4 linked regions of the Caenorhabditis elegans genome follow. The gene in region 2 interacts genetically with the main gene of each other region. Each region holds a gene or a part of one and is shown on either strand. Other genes may lie near its edges. The genes, in order: sos-1, unc-52, let-23 and sem-5.

Region 1 (4,996 bases), on a different chromosome or scaffold from region 2:
AGAGGCTGCCATAAGCAAGAGTTGCCGAAATTTCGGCTTTTTTTTCGATTTTTTTTTAAGAAAAAAGTCTCATTATGATATCCAGTCAGTTTTGGTCTATTCAAGCAAAATAACCAAAATCTCTACTACTTTTCAAATTTCTTCAATTCGATCGAATTTGACCTCAAAAAAATCGAAACGAGAATCAAAAAAGAGTCGACCTTGAAGTAGTGTATTTGTGTTGATTAGGTGGGGCTACTGATTGCACTGCAAATCAATAAATATATAAAGTCTTCTCAACAGATCAAACTGGTTCGAATAGAACAAGGCCGTGGTGAGAGATGGTGGCCGGCCGTTGTCGGGTGTCCATTTCTCTAGAATCTCTCACAGATTCCTGCAGTATTTCGTCAGCAGCCGCCGGCGGGTAACCCCCCGCTTCCCGTTCTCATCCCGTATCATTCTGTCCGCTTGTCTGTCACCTCTACGCTTCCATCACACTCCATCTTTTCTTCTATTTCTTCTTTTCAGTGTGTGTGTTGTTCCATGCATTATTTTTGCGGGTTGTAATCATCATCATCATCGCCATCATACACTTTTCTCCTTCTTCTCCATCTTGCTTTTCTCGCTCTCGTCAATATAGTTTTTGTCTTAAATAAACTTTGCAAAAGTGAAAATTTAAAAAAATATATAAATTCGTTCCTTGCATGCAGATTTTTTTTTCTGAAATTGCCGGAATTTATGTTACCAGCCAGGGATGTCCGGCAATTGTGGTTTGGCAAATTTTCTTGTCCACAAATTCGGCAAATTGCCGATTTGCCAATTTGCCGGAAATTTCGATTTTCGGCAATTTGCCGATTTGCCGTTCGCCGGATATCAATTTGCCAGAAAAATGAGGGTTTTTTATATATTTTTTTATATTTTTCATAACACTTAAAACTGTGCCTTTTTGAAATTTTTTTCCGGTTTTCTTTAGATATTTTCATAGAATTTGCTAACTTTTCAAAATAGATGTAGGAACATTCATAGGATGCGTACAATTTTGCTGATTGAAATTGAACTTCTGGAATTCCCAAAAAAAAAGTGCAAGGCCACAATTTGCCGGTTTGCCGATTTGCCGGAAATTGTCAATTCCGGCAATGTTGATTTGCCGGAAAGTTAGCAAAAATCGTTTGCCGATTTTTTCCAGCAAAGCGGCAAATGGCCGGAATTGAAATTTCCGGCAAATTGGCAATAAACCGGAAAAGTGGCAATTGTCGAAAATTTTCGGCGAAACGTGGTTTTGCACTTCTTTTTTTGTTGGAAATTTCAGAATTTCAATCTAAATCGGCGAAATTGTACGCATCCTATGAATTTTCCTACGTCTGTTTTGAACTGTAAGAAAAAATTTAAAAAAGGGGCAGTTTTAAATGTTCCCATCTTATAAAAATCCCTCTAAACATTTCCGGCAAATTCCAATTTTTTCGAGGAATTGGATTATGTTCCATATATCAACGAAAAAAAAAACAATTTTATTAAACAAAATAAATTGAAAAAATTCGGAAATTTTTCATTTGACGGTATATGCTAAAATATTTTTTTCTGTTCACTTTAAGGTACTTCTGGTGATTAGAAAATTTAAAAAAAAATCGATTGTCAGCGTAAGAATTTATTAATTCATGAATTTTAACTCGTAACTTATTGTTGGCCCACTAATATATTTTTTCCTAAATAATTCAAAATTTCATTGCAGATGGTCATATAAATGAGCATAATGAGCATATCACTGCACTCGGCATCATCGGATACGGTCTCGTTGACCAGCCGACGAACAATATCAACTAGTAAGCATTGGGCGGCTATTTTTGATGAAAGAATTTATCAGGTTTGTATATATTTGAATATTTCCTGAATTCAATAATATTTTTCAATTTCAGATATGCAATATCGTACATCCTGGCCTCCCGATTGACAATGCTGCAGTTGAGCACATTCGATATTTTTTGCAAAGTATCGTTTTTGAGGTATATATATATATGTATATATCGGTTTTTTTTCAAATCTAACAAATAAATTAATATTAATAAATTCCCCCTGTGCATTTCTTGACCTTGTAATCCTTTCCCCTCTTCAGCTCATCGAAGCACGTGCCACAAGTGTCGTCGAAGTGGACAAAACTGCGAAAAAGCTGTTCGCATTCGGTCTGCAGACTGTTTGTAAAGTAAGGGATTTTCAAAAAATGTTTCCAAAAAATTTGTATATTCATAAATCATCAAAAAAGATCGTGATTTGATTTTCAAAACTATTCATTTTTTGTCTTTTATCCTGAATATTCAAGTTTATGGAATTCTTTCCGCTTTAAAATATTTTATTTAAAATGTACTACGAGAACACAAAAATCTGAGAATGCGTATTGCACAACATATTTGACGCGCAAAATAACTCGTAGCGAAAAAGAAAACTACAGTAATCCTTCAAATCACTACTGTAGCGCTTGTGTCGATTTACGAGATCTCGATTTTCGTATTAAAAGCGATGGAGCTTATTTCGAAAATTGGGCCCCGTAAATCGACACAAGCGCTACAGTAATCATTTAAAGGGTTACTGTAGTTTTCGCTACGACACATTTTGCGCGTCAAATATGTGCAATACGCATTCTCAGATTTTTGTGTTCTCGTAGTACATTTTAAATAAAATATTTTAAAGCGGAAAGAATTCCATAAACTTGAATATTCAGGATAAAAGACAAAAAATGAATAGTTTTGAAAATCAAATCACGATCTTTTTTGGTGATTTATGAATATACAAATTTTTCTTTTTTTTGCCTAAAAAATCTGGGTTTGGACAAAAAAAATATTAAAAAAGTAGTGAAATTGGTGAAAAAACCAACAAAAAAAAACGTTTTCCACCTAACATAAATACAAGAAAAATGAAATATACTCTTTGGGAAAAAAATATTTTTAAAAATTCTAAAATTCTGAAAAACCACAAATTAAAATGAACAAACCACGAAATATTGAAAAATTCAACTTTCGAAAATTTTCGTGATTTTAAAATTTGGATTTTTCAGAATTTGAGACTATTTTTGAATTTTTCGGAGCAATATTCCCCCTAAAATGTGTATTTTTTCTGATTTCTCGAATTTTCTTAAATATTATTTCAAAATTTGCAGGAAGCCTGGGACAACATGCACCAACAACTCCAAAAGCACAAATATCAAAAAGCCCTGAAAACAGTTCTAGAAAGCCAACATCGCCTGGCAGCAGTCATCAAAGAAACACTTGGACCACGAGAAAAAGAGAAAAAAGATCGAGAAAAGAAGGAAATCGAACGTATCGCATGCTATATTTATTATGCATGTGAAAGTGTTACTGAAGATGTGCTCAGGCTGACTGGAAATTATGTGAAAAATATTCGAAATAGTGAGCAAAAGATTACGATGGCTAATCTTGATGTGGCGATGAACGGGGATAAGGTACTGCTTTTTTTTGGAGAAAAATATAAAAAAAACCTATTCAGCAGAAAATTTGCTTCGAAAAAATAAAAATAAAAATAGTCTTGAATTCAGAAAAAACCAAAAAAATCGCAATTTTAGCTAAACACAATTTTGTTTTCGAAATCGAAAAACGAGAAAAAAATTTTTTTTTTGAAAACAAAACATTTTTCGCCGAAAAATACGAAGAAATAATAAATTTTTCGCCAAAAAACACAAAAAAGCGAAAAGAATAAACATTTTTCAGTTTATAACGTTATTTTAAAAAAAAACTTGCTTATTTTGACCAAAATTGCATTAAAAAAAATTCGAGTGTGATTTTTTGGAATTTATGTAAAATTTAATATTTTTCTATATTTTTCAATTTATCAGAATTTTCCGCTTTTTATCAATCTTTTTTTCGAAAAAAAAGCAACAAAAAAAAACACATTTTTCGCCAAAAACACGGCAAAATCTACAACCCTGACTGCTGCGACCAATCAGCGATTCGCTCCGCCCATTCTTCAACCAATCAGATGGAGTGGGCGGAGTTTGGTGGCGCTGATTGGTTGTGCAGTTTTCGTTGCGGTGGGAATTCAAAGTTAGCCAAAATTTTCACGATTTTCTTGTGTATTTTTTTCCGAATTTGAGACTATTTTGGTTATTTTGAAGCGAAAATTCAAAAAAAAAAAATCCCAGAAATTTCTGAAATTGACCTAAATTGACCTGAAAATCGATAATTAGACTTGTTTGCAAAGAAAAAAAAAAGGAAAATCTAATTAATATAGCCGTCGGCAATATTATTGCCGAAAAACGATATATTAATTGGGTTTTCTTTGTTTTTTTTCTGTTTTATAATTGGAAATATTATTTTTTCAGACTTTTTTCTGGAAAAAGGGTATAATTTTAAGATTAAATTATCGGTTTTTGGCCAATTTTGGCTAAATTTGTTTCAAATTCTCTTTTTTCATAAATTTCATCTCAAAATTATATTGCATATGTCCACTTCGTGCCAGGCTGTCCCATTACGGTTTGATCTACGAAAAATGCGGGAATTTTTTCCCAGAAAAAATGTGACGTTAGCACGCTCTTAACCATGCGAAATCAGTTGAGAACTCTGCGTCTCTTCTCCCGCATTTTTCGTAGATCAAACCGTAATGGGACAGCCTGACTCCACGTGTATCTGCACGTGGTCTCAAAGTGTCCCATTTTGGTTTGATCTCCGAAAAAGGCGGGACGTCACATTATTCCGAGGAAAAAATTCCCGCATTTTTTGTAGATCAAACCGTAATGGGACAGCCTGACTTGACTACGTGTATGTTACGGTGAAATATGAAATTTTTTTTTCAACTTATTTCAACTTTTGCCGAAAAATTTCCGTTATTCAATGTTTGCCAAACTGGAAATTAGAAAGCTCTCAAAAAATTTATTGAAAAAATTAAAAAAAAAAATTCAGGCCCTAATGGAGCTCCGAACAAAACTTCGAAACGAGGAGGAAGCCGAATCTCCCGGCGGTTTTGGTTTTCTATCGGAATTTGAGGAATTTGTTGCCGAAGAGACTGAAGAAAA
Region 2 (5,244 bases):
AATTGCTGGTTTGCCGATTTGCCAGCAATTTTCATTTTGGAAAACTTGCCGATTTGCCATTTGCCGGAGTGTTTAGAGAGATTTTTTATAAGACGGAACAACTTAAAACTGCCTTTTTGGAAATTTGTTTTCGTTTTCTTTAGATATTTACATAAATAGAATTTACTGAATTTCGAGACAAAATGTGCAAAGCCAAAATTTGCCGAAAATTTTATTTTTCAAAAAATTCACTTTTTTTTCGTTTTCCTGAACTTTGCCGATTTGCGGGGAACTTTAATTTTCGGCAATTTTCCGTTTCGCCGTTTTCCGAGAAAAAAAATTATTTGCGGCCCACCCCTGGTGTGTAATGTATGCATGCGACAATTTCCTAACGCGCTAACAATTGCCTTTACATTAGTTTACAACTCTTCCCGGTTATAGATCTCATTCATCCTGTTGCGTTTGTTGGGTGGCCCCCTCCTCATTGGGATATGTTTGCCTGCTTTTTTAGTTTAAGTGTGTCTGTATTTTTTTCAAAATGCTTTGTGTTATGGTTTTGTTTGGGCTTAAAAACTTTTTTTTTCGAAAATTGCTAAATTATTTTTGCCATTTTTAAAAAAATTTTATTCACTTTCATATATTTACTCACTGTACTCAAAAAATCATATTTTTTCTCTTGAAAATTTTGTGTTTGTTCCAATTGTTTTTTCCTCTAATTAACTCCCAATTTTTTTCACCAGCTTTCCCCAAAAGATTTGCACTTTTAGATGCAAGAAGTATAGGGATAGTGCGAAAATCAGCAAACAATTCTCCCAGCTCTCCACCAATTTTCCACTCTTTTTCCTCGCCGCTTTTCACCTTTTAACCTACTACCCCCATTCCAAGCAGCTACCGTTCCTCCCTTAAATCGGCTTGAAGACTGTCCAATTGTTGTGTCAATATTTGTGGGGGTACTTTTATATAATCGGAAGGTTTCGACAGTTTTCGCCACCTTCTTTGGTGAGGTGGCGATATCAGTGATTATAAAAGGTATGGGAAAATGAAATATATATAGTCAAAGCTATAACCTCTGGGAGATGATTCTTCCTCTATTTATAAACACTTGAGGATGTGAAAATCGGACGGAAAAGACGAGCCACCAATATGAGGTTTGATGATCGGGGAACTCTCGTCGAGTGATGAGATGACGACGACCTGTGTATGTCGGAAAAGATTTGGGGATATTTTGTTTGGACAGGATATATGATGGTTTGGGCGGGTATTGCAACAAAAACTCTTTTTGCCAAATGAAATCAAAAGTGCACGCGGGCCGGAGCAACTTGAAAAAGGCGAAGCTTTGTACATGGTTTTCACCGCCTTCCTAGAAAAATCCTAGAATTCAGAAATTTGCAATATAGAGTTGTTTTGAATTGAAATTCATGAATTGATCACGAAGTGGCTAGGTTTATTGTATGTACAAAAGTCTTTCGATAAGACTATGGTAGCACACTCAAATGCACTTGACGTGAAACGCCAGGTACTGTGGATTCACTCTGTATCAAGAGAGTGGCCGACAAATTTTATTTTTGGCAGTTGCCAAAATTGAAAATTTTAGGAAAATTGTGGTTTTGCAACTATGTATTCATGCAACATCAACATATTTTATATGTTCTGTTGAATTTTTGTACTTTTCTGGAAATTATGTAGTTTTACATAAAATGAGGACTGCTAGATTTGAAGCTTAAACACACTGGAATTGCTTTAGAAAGTATACATGAGAACTGTATGATTTGGTTACTGTCAGCTAATGGCCAGAAACGCATTAGAATTGGAAATATTTTCTCAAACACCAATGCTACCAAATTTTCTAGCTCTTTTCAAACTTGCACCCCCAATAGCGGCAACCGCGTCTAATATAATAACAATAAGCAAGAAACATGCGAATCTATATTATATATTATGAGACGGTTATATACCATGATACTCCGTCCAACGTGGTGCATGACAAGCTATTCAAGTATGTGAGTGTGTGAGTGAGTGTGAGTGTGTGTGATGTGTTTATGCTAGTTGCGAGACGCGCAGGCGCAACAAGAGAGGCGGCTCTAAAATGCAAATATTTACCTGAGTCAGGAAAGAAATTCAGTTAGAGAAGAAGGAGGGTGGAAGCTTCTCCTAAAAAAGTGGGCGGGGCCTAAGAAGTTGCAACTGTGCCGCTGTGCCTCGCCGCCGCCGACGGTCAGCGCGCGCCTCTGTCTAGCAACCTTCTATCTCCTTACTTTCTTTTTTTAAAACTGACCTACTGCTCATTTATACCCCCCGTCAACTAGTTAGGGGGGATGGCGTTTTCGCTGTTCTCCGTCGTTTCACTGACGGTCATCTACCGGTTGACCATCAACTTTCCCGAACTACCGTACACTCAGGAGTTGAAGAACGTTGAGAGCGATGAGTTCGTGAGCACATCTAGAGATATAGCTCATTCTATTCAAGAGTTGGTCAAGGATCTAGAAGGAAGGCATACAGCTAAGGTTGCCGATTATAAGTGAGTTTTGAGTGAAAAAGGTTATCGACAATTTTGGGCGTTTTTCACTTTTCAAGAAATTCTAAAATTGCTCCCCTAATTTCCACATATTTACTTTTTTGCGGAATCTTAAAATTACAAAATGTCCATCAGTCCGTAATCCAAACCCGTAACTGTTGCCCGTGGGCCATAACCCAGAGTCCGTAATCCGCAAGTTCGGAGACCCGGGTTCCAAAATTGGGAGTCCGGAGTGCAGAGCCCGGAGTCCATCGTCCGGAGAACGGAACCCGAAGCCCGAGGTCCGAAGTCCGAGGTCCGGAGTCCGCGGTCATTCAAAATTCAACAATACTAATTTAGAAGGCATACTTCTGCAGCTTAATTTTAAAAAGTATATATTAAAGTTTTCAAATAATTCTTCCAAATTCCAATGTCATGTTTTCTGATAATTCTTAACAAAAAAAAAACGGTCGCTTCCTCCCACGAGAGAAAGTCAACAATAGAGTATTTTGTGTAAATACATGCGTATGTATGTACATGTGTGTGTACCTATATGTTGTTGTAACTTCCAGATATCACAAAATCATTGGATCTCTTGTCTACGTGGATTTGTACGCTGAAAAAGAGTCACCACTGGTGTCTGATGTGTTGTTGTCCGCGATAAAGTCTGGAAAAATTGGGAACCTTACGGTTTCCGATGAGGGTTTTGAGCTTCATGTTGTAAGAGGTGTGTTGTTGTGTGTTGTTGTGTGTTGTTTTATATGTTAAAATTATTCAGTCGCCTGAAAAATCTTACTTTACCAAAAATTGCAGACTCGTCAATAGCCTGCGCCACCACAGAATTCACATGCCTTGACAAGTCATGCATCCCGGCGGATCAACGTTGTGATGGAAGACGCAACTGTCCAGATGGATCAGATGAGCACAAGGAGCATGGAAAATGCAAGCAGCATCAACCAATCATCCATCAAACTGAGAAAGTTGTCTTCGCTCAGAAACATGGATCCATCCATCTCTCGGCTTCAATTGATAGTTCGGTAGAGGATAATAAGGTTCGTATACACTTTATTTGATTATAAAAAAGTGTCTACATGATTGGAGGCTATGCTTAATTTTCTAATTCCAAGCTATGTTGATAATTAAAAAAAAAGTTTCTTAATTGACTTTTGAATTGAGGTAATGCTCCGAAAAATCTTTTAATATTGTGTAAAACTATTGATTATTCCAGATTGCTTGGTCCAAAGACAGCGTTCTTCTTGGAGTTGGCTCGATGACCTTGGCAGAAGACGGGCGTGTGACGGTTTACAAAAAAGGAGACAAACATCATCTTCATATCATCAACGCCACCGACGCAGATGATGGAACTTATAAAATGATTGTGCAAGGAATAAATGTGGAGGCTGATTTTGAGGTAAGCGTTGGAAAGTGATTCAGGAAATTTGAGAAAAATATTAAGAAAGGGGTTTCCATATATGCTATCATTGATGGTTTGAAACTTCCTTTAAAATTTTAAATTTCCAAAAATATTGGCAAAACTGTAACTGAGAGGTTCAACGACTATTATATTTGCACATGAATTTTTTGGTCCATTTTTTAAAAAATTTTTCTTCTCCGATTTGCATATTTTGATACATTGTGTTTCAACTTAAAGGACTTCAAACAAGTGAAAATATGTTTGAAAATTTCTAAAATCAAAATTTTTCATTATTCCGAAACCGATCAGAACCAATTTCCATTTACAGTATTTTTAGCTATTCATAAAATGTTCAATTTCAGGTCCGCATCACCTCCGACCGTGTCGCCACCGAATCCGACGAATGCCCAAGCGGGGAGCGTGCCTGTAAATCTGGACATTGCCTTCCAGTCGCCCAATTCTGTGATCGCCGAGTTCAATGCCCAGATGGTGATGACGAGGAACATTGCTCTGGTAGGGGGCCTCTTAGTCATAAAATACATTGAACATTTCGTTATAATAGGTGCTAGATACTACCTCGCTCCTTAGAATGTAATAATTGATGTTTTTCATTGTGAGAAAAATACTAGTACCAAAAAATGGAAGATAGATCAATGACTCATTTCCAATAATTTTTAGTTGAAAAGCAGCCAGTAGACCCGGTTATTCCAACAAGGTGAGAGGGGACGAAAAGAGCACACACACACATGTGTGTGTGTGTGCTCGGAGAAACAATAGTTAAACATTTGACCAGCACACTTGTTTTGTTTTTCGCACACTTGTAGGAGAAAATGCTCAAGGAAAAATTGAAAAATTGTGCTCCGTGCTTGAGAAAATCTTTCGTCGACTTGACTTATTACAGAAGTGCAATGCAAATCGAATGAGTTCCGATGCGAGTCCACAAATGTTTGTGTGCCAACTGTCGTCGTCTGTGACGGATGGAAAGATTGCCATGATGGTTCTGATGAAAAGGTAAGGGGTTGGGGAATTTTAAATTCAACAAAGTTGTACTGTGAAACTACAGTAGGGAAATCGTAGGGATACATTGGACCCACAAAAAGACCGCATTTTTGCAATACAGTAGTATTCCAGAGCCTGTATGGATACTCTATAAGATATTACTGTAGATGCACTAAATAATTCAGGAATGGGCGGCAATTGCTGTTCGGCAAATCTGGCAAATCGGCAAATTGCCGGATTGCCGATTTGCCAGAAAAATCGTTTGCCGCACACTCCTGATAAAAGGTGCCTTTATTGCATTTTTTTAGACAATTGGGATTACTCCAGGAGTTTTCAAAGGCAATCTTTAATTTCAAGT
Region 3 (5,193 bases), 5.5 Mb from region 2:
AATTTTGTATTTATTGAGCTTTTAGGGATTTTGTAGGAATTAGTGCAGCTTGAAATTGATTTATTTCAAAAAGAAAACGTACTTTTTGGACAGCTGGAACTTCTGCATTTTTCACACTCTCTAACATCTTTTGTAGCATCATAATGGTGACCATCTGAGCAGTGACGAACACATACATCGTTTTCGATTAGAAGTTCAGCTGAAAAAGTATTTCGTGAGTTGTGGATTCTGCTTATTCATCATTTATCTCTATCCAAATAACTTACGAGGGCATTCTTTCACACAATGATTTCCATTTTGGTATCTTCCGTCTGGGTTAAAAACTAATCGTCCTGTTTTGTGATTGAAAATTTTTCGCGATGGGCACGTTTCGATACAGATTCCATCCAATTCATATTTACTGCAGGCAATGCAATTTTTTGGTCCGTGACCTGTACATCCTCCAAGACAAGCCGAGTCACAACATTCGTATGAACTTGTAGAGTTCGAGTAGAAACACTGAGAACAAGATTTTGGACATACGGAACGGTAGACTGAAAATATACTGCATATTGGTGAATTTTATTTACATAATTTCTTTAAAATAATTTTGAAACTTTTGATCGTTCTGTGTCAAAAATTAAATTTTTTCAGAAGTTTGAAAAATTCAGCCACAATGAACAAAAACTTATGTCTAGTCTAATTTTTTTGCTAACCTCGTTGACAATCATTGTCTCCGGATCCCCAACATTTATCATTACAACTTTCATGGCATTTTGCCATTGATTTTCCATTTTGATAGCAATGTTGATGTGAGTTTGTAGTTTCAACTTTCTGTACATCTGGGTCGTACAGTAACTCCTTCCAATCGATTTTATCCCCAATGTAACACATTTTTGGATTGTCTTGAATTGTGACACTTCCATTCCTAATCACTGAAAAATAAAAATAAAATACTATGTCTCTAAAAGCTGAGCAAACAAACCTCTCAACTCTCTCATCACAACTTCGTGAACTTTATCATTTTTATGAATGTACAATGCATTATCGTGAAAAACCTCGTCTCCGTAGATTACTCGTAGTCTTGGAAATGATATTTTTTGAATATTCGCACGATAAATTATTAAGCTTCCTCGAATCTGAAAAATAAAGGTAAAGGAAGATTTAAGCAAAAACGTTTTTGGTAGAAAATACATCTATTGTTGTAGATGTTTTCATACTCACCTCCTCTAAATTATCAAAAAAGTTAATTGATTTCAATGGTGAATCTTCATTTTTTGGGTCCACAGTGCTATTCGTCGATTCTCTCCATTTCTTTATTTCATTTGCTTCTATCCATGTTATTTCAAGATTTCCATAAACACGACGACACCCTCGGTACATCTAAATCAAGACATTTTTCCTTGTTTTGGCAAAAAATTTAGTTTTGCCTGGGGCTATTTGACTATTTGTTTTGGATGGTTACTTCGTCGATCCGGAACTTTTTAAATTTTTTTAAAATAAAATTCTAATCGTATGGTTTAACAGCAGAAATCAAAGATAAATCCCTATTCAACAACTTACAGTTTCCAGATCTTCCAAAATATTTCCGGTTCCATATCTCGATATTCCATTGGTTGTGCCAGAACAAACTGAAAATCAAGAATGAAATTCGTGTAAGTTTTTGTTTGATTCAAAGAGGAAAAATTCACAGAGGGGATGCATATTTTGGTTTCAAAAAATCTAGTTTCTCTAAAAATTAACTAGAATTATTTTAAAAATTTTTCTTATCTCAAAAAAAAAGAAAAAAATGGAGCCTTTCAATTTTCTTGATGATCCGATTACTTGTCCTCTGAATGACATTTTAAATGATAAAGTTCTCACGTGTCTACCGGTTACTGTACTTGTAATGAACTTTTGATAACTTTCTGTAATCGAAATATCATGATTCATGTCAAAATTAATAAAAATTTAAATTTCTACAAAAAGTATTGTATTACTTTAATGAACATTTTTTTAAAGTATATGTCTTGAAACTTTTTAGAAAGAACACATCAAATCGCATATGTATATTCTATGATTTAAAAAAAATCAGTTGCCATTGTTGACAATTTCCCATTTTATCCACTTACGGCAGTCTTGAGGTGAAACACATCTTTTCCACAACTGTGCATTAGAATTTCCAAAAAATGTTAGAAAAATAGGAATAATCAATAAAATTGAACCGATAGAGGGAGGGTATCGCATGCCTCCCAGAAAATTGTAGATAGTGAGAAAACTTGGACAAATTCTTCCTTTTTTTCACTCTTCTATGACCACTTTTCTACCTCTTATACATGTGATACCCAAAAACGGGACAGAGAGTAGTAGACTGAATGTGTGCTCATTTTCATTTCATTTTTGCCTCAATTCTAGCATTTTTCATCTTCTCAAGTGCTTCGAAATGGAATGAGTTGCAAATTTCTATGTATGAATGTGTGGGGGAAAGAGTAATTAATTGGGTTTTTGGATAAATCACGAGGACATCACAAATACCACAAAAACAATGGGAAAAGGAAATTATATTTGGATATAACGGGGTTACTCACCACTAGGATCTGTTAGGTTCCCTTTAAAAAAATGTTTGCAAATTCTGAGACATACTTTCCTGTTCGGAATGCATTTTTAAACATTATATTATTTTAACTTTTAATAAAAATCCAAAAGCTTGTTTTTTACTATGGTGGTCAATTTCATGTGGAATAATTTTCGTATTCACAGAAATCTTTTTGAGAAAAACCAAGATATAGGCGGAGTCATTTATCTATCAAAAAAATGACAAGCCAATAAAATAGGATTCATAACCTCGCTCTAATCGGTTTCAGATCCAATTTTTCACGATTTTCAAATTTTGATCAAATTGAACAAAATAATGGAAAACGTAATAATTCCAAAAGCCAACTCACATTCTCTCACCACAATCTTCCGTTGCCTCCTCCGTACAGTTACTGAACCTTGTGTTGACGTTGGTGATGCCGCATCAATTGTTGTATCAATTAAGATTATTAAAAATAAGAATAAAAAAGGGAACTTCATCTGAAATGAAAATTGGACATCAGTAATGCAGTTTTTGGTCGATATTGTCAAGAGAATTGGGAGAGGTATAGGCAGTAAAGGAGGCGATTTTTGAAACAAAAAAAGGTGATGCGAGCGAGATGGGATTAAAACTCTTCAACAACGACACAGTTCAACCATACATAGAATAACGTACAAAAATGTTTTATTGGTGTTGTGGCGCCACGTTCTTTTTGTGGTCTACGACCTATTCCCCATCGGGGGGCCCAGAGACGAGTTCTCAATATGGACGAGTTGCTGTCAAATTGTGTGAAGATAAATTGGAGGACACAATTTCGGGTACAGCTTCCGACAGTTCGTGTGTTTGGGGTAGTATGCGTTTAATATCCTAGTTTGAATGTATAGCATCTTACTGGCTTAACAAGGATTTTAAGTGGAAATTGAAATTTGAAGCCAAAATTTCTGCAAAAATTTTTTGATTTTTTTTAACGCTGAACGAACTCAATAATTTTTATTGATTGCGCAGTCCTAATTTTATTGTAAAAAAAAGAGCCGTTAAAAAATAGTGTACCTCTTGCTCCGAGAAGTTAGAAAAATGGTTTCTTTTGTGCGTGACGTCTCGAGCTCTCAAGTTCTCTCACTTTTATAATTGAAATCTATGAATCAGAGGAAAGAACAACATACGATCGGCATGGGAAACTTGAGGAGATGCTTTTAAGAAATATCGAAAAGAAAATGGCGGAAATCCGGGAAATTTTTTAATTTAGAATTTAGAAGAGTTCAGATCGATTTTCAGTTGAAAAATTATTGTAGGTTTTTGTAGTTTATATGCTGAAAAGTAAGTAAGATATATGAAACTAAAAGCTTAAAATTTCCGGTTCGTCCGAAGAATTTATTTTTCAAATGAATTTTACACCAAAAAAAATCAAAACCTCAATCACATGCCAAAACGCATTTGACGTCGTACACAAAAATTTGTCAGCAGTATTTCAAATTGTTCATATTTTTCTTTCGGTACAAGGAAAAAAGTGATAGGAGCAAGTGAGCAGGACTGTGTGGGTGGTTGATAAGGAAGAGAAGAAGACGATGGTTGTTGAGCATCTTCTCTGCTTCTCTAATTCTCATTCTTTCTTATTTCTGAGCTCTTTTAGATTGTGAATCATAATAGATTTATAAACGTGGACAATACTCAATGGACCTCCCGACAAATAGAACTTGAATATGAATAGGTTGATGGGAAAAGGCTGGGCGGCGTATTTCTATGTGCAAATGGTTATCAAATGCTTGCTTGGCGTTTTGCTTTTAGAAAACCGTTTTAAATCTAAAAAATTACATCGGGATCTTCATTGATGTTTTTAAAAACAATAGATAATGTCTCCACAATTTTTGCATTAAAAATGTTCATTGAAAACTTTAACATAAATATCTTAAAGTAAAAAGTGGATACATTCAAATTTTAGGCAAAATTCGGAGATCTATTAATTGAAACAAAAAAAACCTCTCAAAACTAATAAATCAATCTTGCAACAACACTGAAGAATGAGGGTTCTTGATTCATTTTCATTCCCTTTGAAGTCATACCGCCATCGGTTGGCAGCTAGTGGGGAAGAACACGGGCGGTCCTAATTACCATATGGTTGAACACCTAGATGCGCCTAAGAAATATGAACGAAGAGGAGATCAACATGTGGAAAATGATTGGATTTTGATTGTGTGGCTTGGCTCAGAGTCACTTTGTCTATTTCTTCGTAAAGAAAAGAGCAGAAAATTTGTTATTGAAAGTATAGGTGAGGGAGGATTGGAAAATGATGAGGGAGGGGAAGAGATTCCAGGTGTCAAGTGGGTTTATGAAGATTTATGAGAAAAAACTGAGGGCAAGGAGGAGAAGAAAAGGTATTTAGAGGTCAAGGAAGTATTAGAGACTATAAACATATATCATTTGTTCGAGGTTGCATTTTTGGATTACAGTAACCTGACCGGAAAAGGTATTGATGACTGGACCAGTGGACCATTTTGAAGCCTGTAAAATACTTCGACCTGAAAATATTTCAGTGCAGTTTCACTACTTCGGGGACCGTAAAATGTGAATTTAGGTACATTATGTAACAATTTCGGATAGAATTTGAAACTTTTCAAAAGACTCCTTATAGTTACATATTTATAGTAATCTGGTAAAACAAA
Region 4 (4,667 bases), on a different chromosome or scaffold from region 2:
TAATGTTCCAAGAGAAATATGTCGCACATCTTTGAGGCAATGTTTTCAAGCCTCTAAATGAAGTGAAACCCTAAATTTAAAATTTGGGTTAAGTTTCTGTTAACGATACAAATTCAGAATGTTTTACTGAGAATGTTAATCTATTCGGTAAATCGGCGCCACTTCTCAACCAACTTTAGCCATTTTCTAACTGTCATTTGCAAAAGTGGCAAAAGTTGGTTAAACAGGGTTTTTACGCTCTAAGCAACTAGAAAAAGTGTGTGAAAGTTGACGAAAGTTGGTCGAGAAGTGGGAAGTGGTGGAAATCTAATGGCAGTTAGAAAGTGGCCAAAGTAGGTTGAGAAGTGGCCACGAGTTGCCGACTACGGAACCTAGTAAATTTATTGACAAATCAGTCACATAACCTTGCTCTTGGAAGTTCACACTGTAAAACAGTGAGAATTTTCAGAAAAGTTATATGGATATATTTAAAGAACCAGTGACAAAATTTAATATTTTGGTTCTTAAAAAAGTTAATTTCAGTCATATATTAGTTTTACTATAGATACTGTTCTTACGATTTTGTATTAGTCAGGTAAATACACATTTGTCAAACTAACTAGTAGTAAATACAGTTGGTTTCCAGCTAGAAAACACTATTCCTTATTATATTTACGTACACTCACCGATTAAAATGTCAAGTATTTATGAGTAACTGTCACAGGTTCGATTATCTTTTTTATATCGGTTAAATTATAGTCTTATTTCGTAATTTTCATTAAATTTTTTAACTGCTAAATAATTTTCCAGCAACTGAAGTTCAAAAATTTGATTGAAGTTGCAATCTATTTATGTTTCCTATCTAATTTATCATCTCTAGCCCTATTTCCGAAATAGTTTTCATTTTTATTTTTGAAAAGAGAATCGGTACTGACTACCCAGCACACCCAAATGTTTTGATTTCTAGACGGTTAGTCACCTCAGGCTGGACAGGACAAGGTGGGAGTGTGTTTGTTGACATTCTTCTAATCGATGAATTGCAATACCCAATGCCTTGGAGCATTTTCAATTTGATTCTTTCTTCTTCGTTTTCTCGTGTTCTCTTATCACTTTTCATTTGTTCTTTTCCGTTTCTCCGGCCATTCATTCAAAAGTGTAAGAAAAGACGTGCATGATGACTGCTGATAGCGTATCGCACTTTTTTCTCTGAATCTCCATTTGAAACCATGTAAATTACAGAACTCATTGCGGAAAACAGTACGGTCCGGCCTGCCCAAACTCGCCGTTGTTTTTGTGTGTGTGTGGGAGAGACAGATAGAGACAGTGCGAAGATGGGAGAGAAAAAAGAGACACGAAGAACGCGTGATAGATTTGGAGTATTAGAGAAAAGTAGTGTCGTAGCATTCGGCACATTTAGTGTTGCATACAATGCGCCGGAATCGACGACACTTAGTGTTGCCCCGGTTTGTTACTCTCCGGTTTCTACTGTTTCCACTGTTTCCCCGTTTTCACGTTCAAACACTCAACTAAAACCACCTCAATCACCGAACTAGTGACCCTGCGGGTTTTTATTTTGCGTTCTGCGTTTCTCAATTTCATTTATCCTTCTTTTTTCTCGCCGGTCCTCTTACTCATCTCCTGTTACAATTTGCACTACGCTCTTCTCATTCTCATTTTCCCTCTCAGTTGTTCCTCTATGCTTTGCCGCTAGATTTTTTTATTGCTCTAATAATTTTTCATTGGCGCCGCGCGGATATGTCGATATGTAGATACAGTCTCTCAAGCAGGCCAATTTATTGACAACAATGTTTGTTCAATGTACTCTGTTATGTTTTATTTTGGTGTTAATTGTTTCTGAAGCTGCAAAGAGTATATTTCAGGTAGCGAGACGATGGAGGCGGTCGCCGAGCATGATTTCCAGGCGGGATCACCTGATGAGTTGTCTTTCAAGAGAGGAAACACGCTAAAAGTTTGTTCAACAATATCATAACCGGGCCCTGATAAAATCAATAATTGCAGGTTTTGAACAAAGATGAAGATCCACATTGGTATAAAGCTGAATTGGATGGAAATGAAGGATTCATTCCTTCTAATTATATTCGTATGACTGAATGCAATTGGTATGTTCGGGAAAAAATAGTTTGACTTTTTTGAGGATTTAATCTATAAGCTTATATTTTAAAAATCAGTCGATCTTACTTCTCGCGGTTTTTGTTTGTATACCCCGCAGCTAGGGCGCGAAGAACTGAGAACGCTTGCGTAAACAATTTTTAAAATTTCTGGATTTTTAGGTACCTTGGTAAAATAACAAGAAATGACGCAGAAGTATTGCTGAAAAAGCCAACCGTACGTGATGGTCATTTCCTTGTCCGACAGTGTGAAAGTAGTCCAGGAGAATTTTCGATCAGTGTTCGGTAAGAAGATGTTATAGATTTTCAAAAAGTTATACATTTTTTTCCAGATTCCAAGATTCTGTACAACATTTCAAAGTTTTGCGTGATCAAAATGGTAAATATTACTTGTGGGCTGTCAAATTCAACTCTTTGAATGAATTAGTTGCTTATCACAGGTGAGTCACACTTTTTCAAAAAAAAAGTAAAAAATCAATAATTTTCAGAACCGCTTCTGTTTCGCGTACTCACACAATATTGCTGTCAGATATGAATGTGGAGACTAAATTTGTACAGGCCCTGTTTGATTTCAACCCACAGGAGAGTGGAGAGCTAGCTTTCAAAAGAGGAGATGTTATCACTTGTAAGTGTTTTTGAAACACAAATTTTCATGATTTTAAAATGTTCAATTGAAAGTTTGAATCAAAAAATTCTAGGTTTAATTGAAAATGGTAAAAATGGATATATCTTGGACTGTATTTCGAAAATTTTGAAACTATTCACTTTATAGATCTTAAAACAAGAATATTTAAGAAGAACCATAAAAATAACAAAAAGGTAATACAAAGTACTAGGAAGATAATATGAGACGTCTTGCTTAAACTAACTTTCACTGGAACAAATAAATGCACGTATTGAAAATCAGTTGTTAGATTAGTTTTTGTATAAACTCAAATTGAAATGAAAAAACTCTGTGGCTATTATTTACTTTTCGGAGAAACATTGGATTTCAAGATACAATTTGCAGCATTATGAATGTTCACAACGTAAAAATAGAGTTAATCGGTTGATCATCTATTTGTCGGGGTTGAGCAACCCCGAAAAATAAAACATTTAGAAAATCTCTTATATTTTATTTTCAGTGATCAACAAAGACGATCCAAACTGGTGGGAAGGACAGCTGAACAACAGGCGTGGAATTTTCCCATCCAACTACGTATGCCCTTACAATAGCAATAAGAGCAACTCCAACGTGGCTCCTGGCTTCAACTTTGGAAATTAGGACGTTATTTTAGGATTTTTCCTGTCTCTGTTCGTTCTTTAAAAGGAGCGTTCAATGTTTCTTCTATACCATTTGTTCTTGACATAGTAGTCTAATAAGCCCTCTCTTACTTAATCTCCAATAATAATCACTAAATCTTGTCACAAACACACTTTCCAATGCTGGGTATTAATTTCACAACTTTCTCAAAACTGAGATAAGTTGTTCGTGTTTTACATGTAGACCATGAATTTTCAATGTTTTTATTCTTTGCAACTTGGAACTGCCATTGGCAATGTTTTATCGATTTTTTGTTCGGTTTCGTTGGCAATGATACAATTCTTGTTGTGTTATCAACAGCCTTTTCTTTCCCGCTTTCTTCCAACCCCACACCAATTCTATTACGGATCTATTAAGCGATTAGATACTCTGACACAATACTCAGAGACTGTTCGCATTTGTTTTTTTTTGTGTTCATGCAATTTTTGTCATAACTATTTGCCATTTCTCGTCATTGTCTCTCTTTTTCTTTTGACATTTTGCAATTCATCCAAAACCAATACGATTTTTCGTTCGGTGCTACATTGTTCGGTTTTATCACAACTCACACTGTTCTGATATAGTTTTATCACTTCATTCTATTCCTCCGGCTCAATCTCTTGTCGAGAGCATCATGAAGCTTCTCTCTGCCTCCCACTTTACTCGCCGTCTTGCTTTTATATCGAATTTGTCAAGTATTTTCCAATCCCTTTGTAAATCAATGAAGGTTAATAATTATTATATTAATCCACTTTCTATAATTTTTACAGAACATAATTTGTAGATGCAAAGTAGTTTATCTGGAAAATTTTGCATGTGGAGTTTCCTTTAATGACATTTTCACATTTTGCAAGCTAGTTTGAACAAAATACTCAGACATTTCGAATTTTAATAAAAGTCTTCTCCGATTAGTTTTAAAGTTTATACGGCTCTAAAAACGAAATTAAACCATTAGTTAAAATTCTATAACGAGTCAATGATAATAATTAAAATGAGCGTAATGGGTTGTGAAATCTTTTGTCAACGGAAAAGGTGAAGTGGTATGTTTTTCGAACTTAAAAATCAATTTTTTTTCAACCAAAAAGCGCGCCGTCTTTACTTATTTCTTGGATATACCAGATAACAATTTATTCTAAATTTTAAGTTATTTTTTTAAATTATAATTTGTGAGTCTCAAAAATGCAATAGTGCTCTCAATTTTTTTAAAGCAACGTTAATGTCTTTTGCTTTACCACACCTTTGATTAACAATTGAATTTTGAAAGAAAACGTAACAAT

What was found.
Region 1: of unc-52 (region 2) and sos-1, changing one enhances a phenotype caused by changing the other (phenotypic enhancement), as found in Caenorhabditis elegans (2 studies listed by BioGRID, with this or other methods).
Region 3: of unc-52 (region 2) and let-23, changing one enhances a phenotype caused by changing the other (phenotypic enhancement), as found in Caenorhabditis elegans (2 studies listed by BioGRID, with this or other methods).
Region 4: of unc-52 (region 2) and sem-5, changing one enhances a phenotype caused by changing the other (phenotypic enhancement), as found in Caenorhabditis elegans (2 studies listed by BioGRID, with this or other methods).

What each region holds. Positions count from the first base shown.
Region 1 is NC_003283.11:4,546,004-4,550,999, reverse strand, and holds the start of sos-1 (Son of sevenless homolog), read left to right. Parts: upstream 1-1,708; 5' UTR 1,709-1,720; coding exon 1,721-1,840; intron 1,841-1,892; coding exon 1,893-1,979; intron 1,980-2,089; coding exon 2,090-2,176; intron 2,177-3,127; coding exon 3,128-3,430; intron 3,431-4,883; coding exon 4,884-4,996. UniProt on the Caenorhabditis elegans protein: Promotes the exchange of Ras-bound GDP by GTP. May regulate signaling pathways downstream of receptor tyrosine kinase, egl-15 and let-23.
Region 2 is NC_003280.10:14,681,347-14,686,590, reverse strand, and holds the start of unc-52 (Basement membrane-specific heparan sulfate proteoglycan core protein), read left to right. Parts: upstream 1-2,134; 5' UTR 2,135-2,294; coding exon 2,295-2,497; intron 2,498-3,045; coding exon 3,046-3,200; intron 3,201-3,286; coding exon 3,287-3,525; intron 3,526-3,701; coding exon 3,702-3,884; intron 3,885-4,249; coding exon 4,250-4,400; intron 4,401-4,788; coding exon 4,789-4,898; intron 4,899-5,244. UniProt on the Caenorhabditis elegans protein: Component of an integrin containing attachment complex, which is required for muscle development and maintenance. Probable structural role in myofilament assembly and/or attachment of the myofilament lattice to the cell membrane.
Region 3 is NC_003280.10:9,195,358-9,200,550, reverse strand, and holds the start of let-23 (receptor protein-tyrosine kinase), read right to left. Parts: upstream 3,040-5,193; 5' UTR 3,034-3,039; coding exon 2,904-3,033; intron 2,568-2,903; coding exon 2,547-2,567; intron 2,295-2,546; exon of another isoform or gene 2,206-2,294; coding exon of another isoform or gene 2,091-2,205; intron 1,611-2,090; coding exon 1,543-1,610; intron 1,363-1,542; coding exon 1,204-1,362; intron 1,119-1,203; coding exon 965-1,118; intron 915-964; coding exon 696-914; intron 534-695; coding exon 267-533; intron 200-266; coding exon 83-199; intron 1-82. UniProt on the Caenorhabditis elegans protein: Tyrosine-protein kinase receptor which, upon binding ligand lin-3, activates 2 signaling cascades: the let-60/Ras and MAP kinase signaling pathway and the let-60-independent phospholipase C-mediated Ca(2+) signaling pathway.
Region 4 is NC_003284.9:7,958,916-7,963,582, reverse strand, and holds sem-5 (Sex muscle abnormal protein 5), read left to right. Parts: upstream 1-1,859; 5' UTR 1,860-1,870; coding exon 1,871-1,948; intron 1,949-1,998; coding exon 1,999-2,099; intron 2,100-2,270; coding exon 2,271-2,393; intron 2,394-2,440; coding exon 2,441-2,548; intron 2,549-2,596; coding exon 2,597-2,733; intron 2,734-3,232; coding exon 3,233-3,372; 3' UTR 3,373-4,130; downstream 4,131-4,667.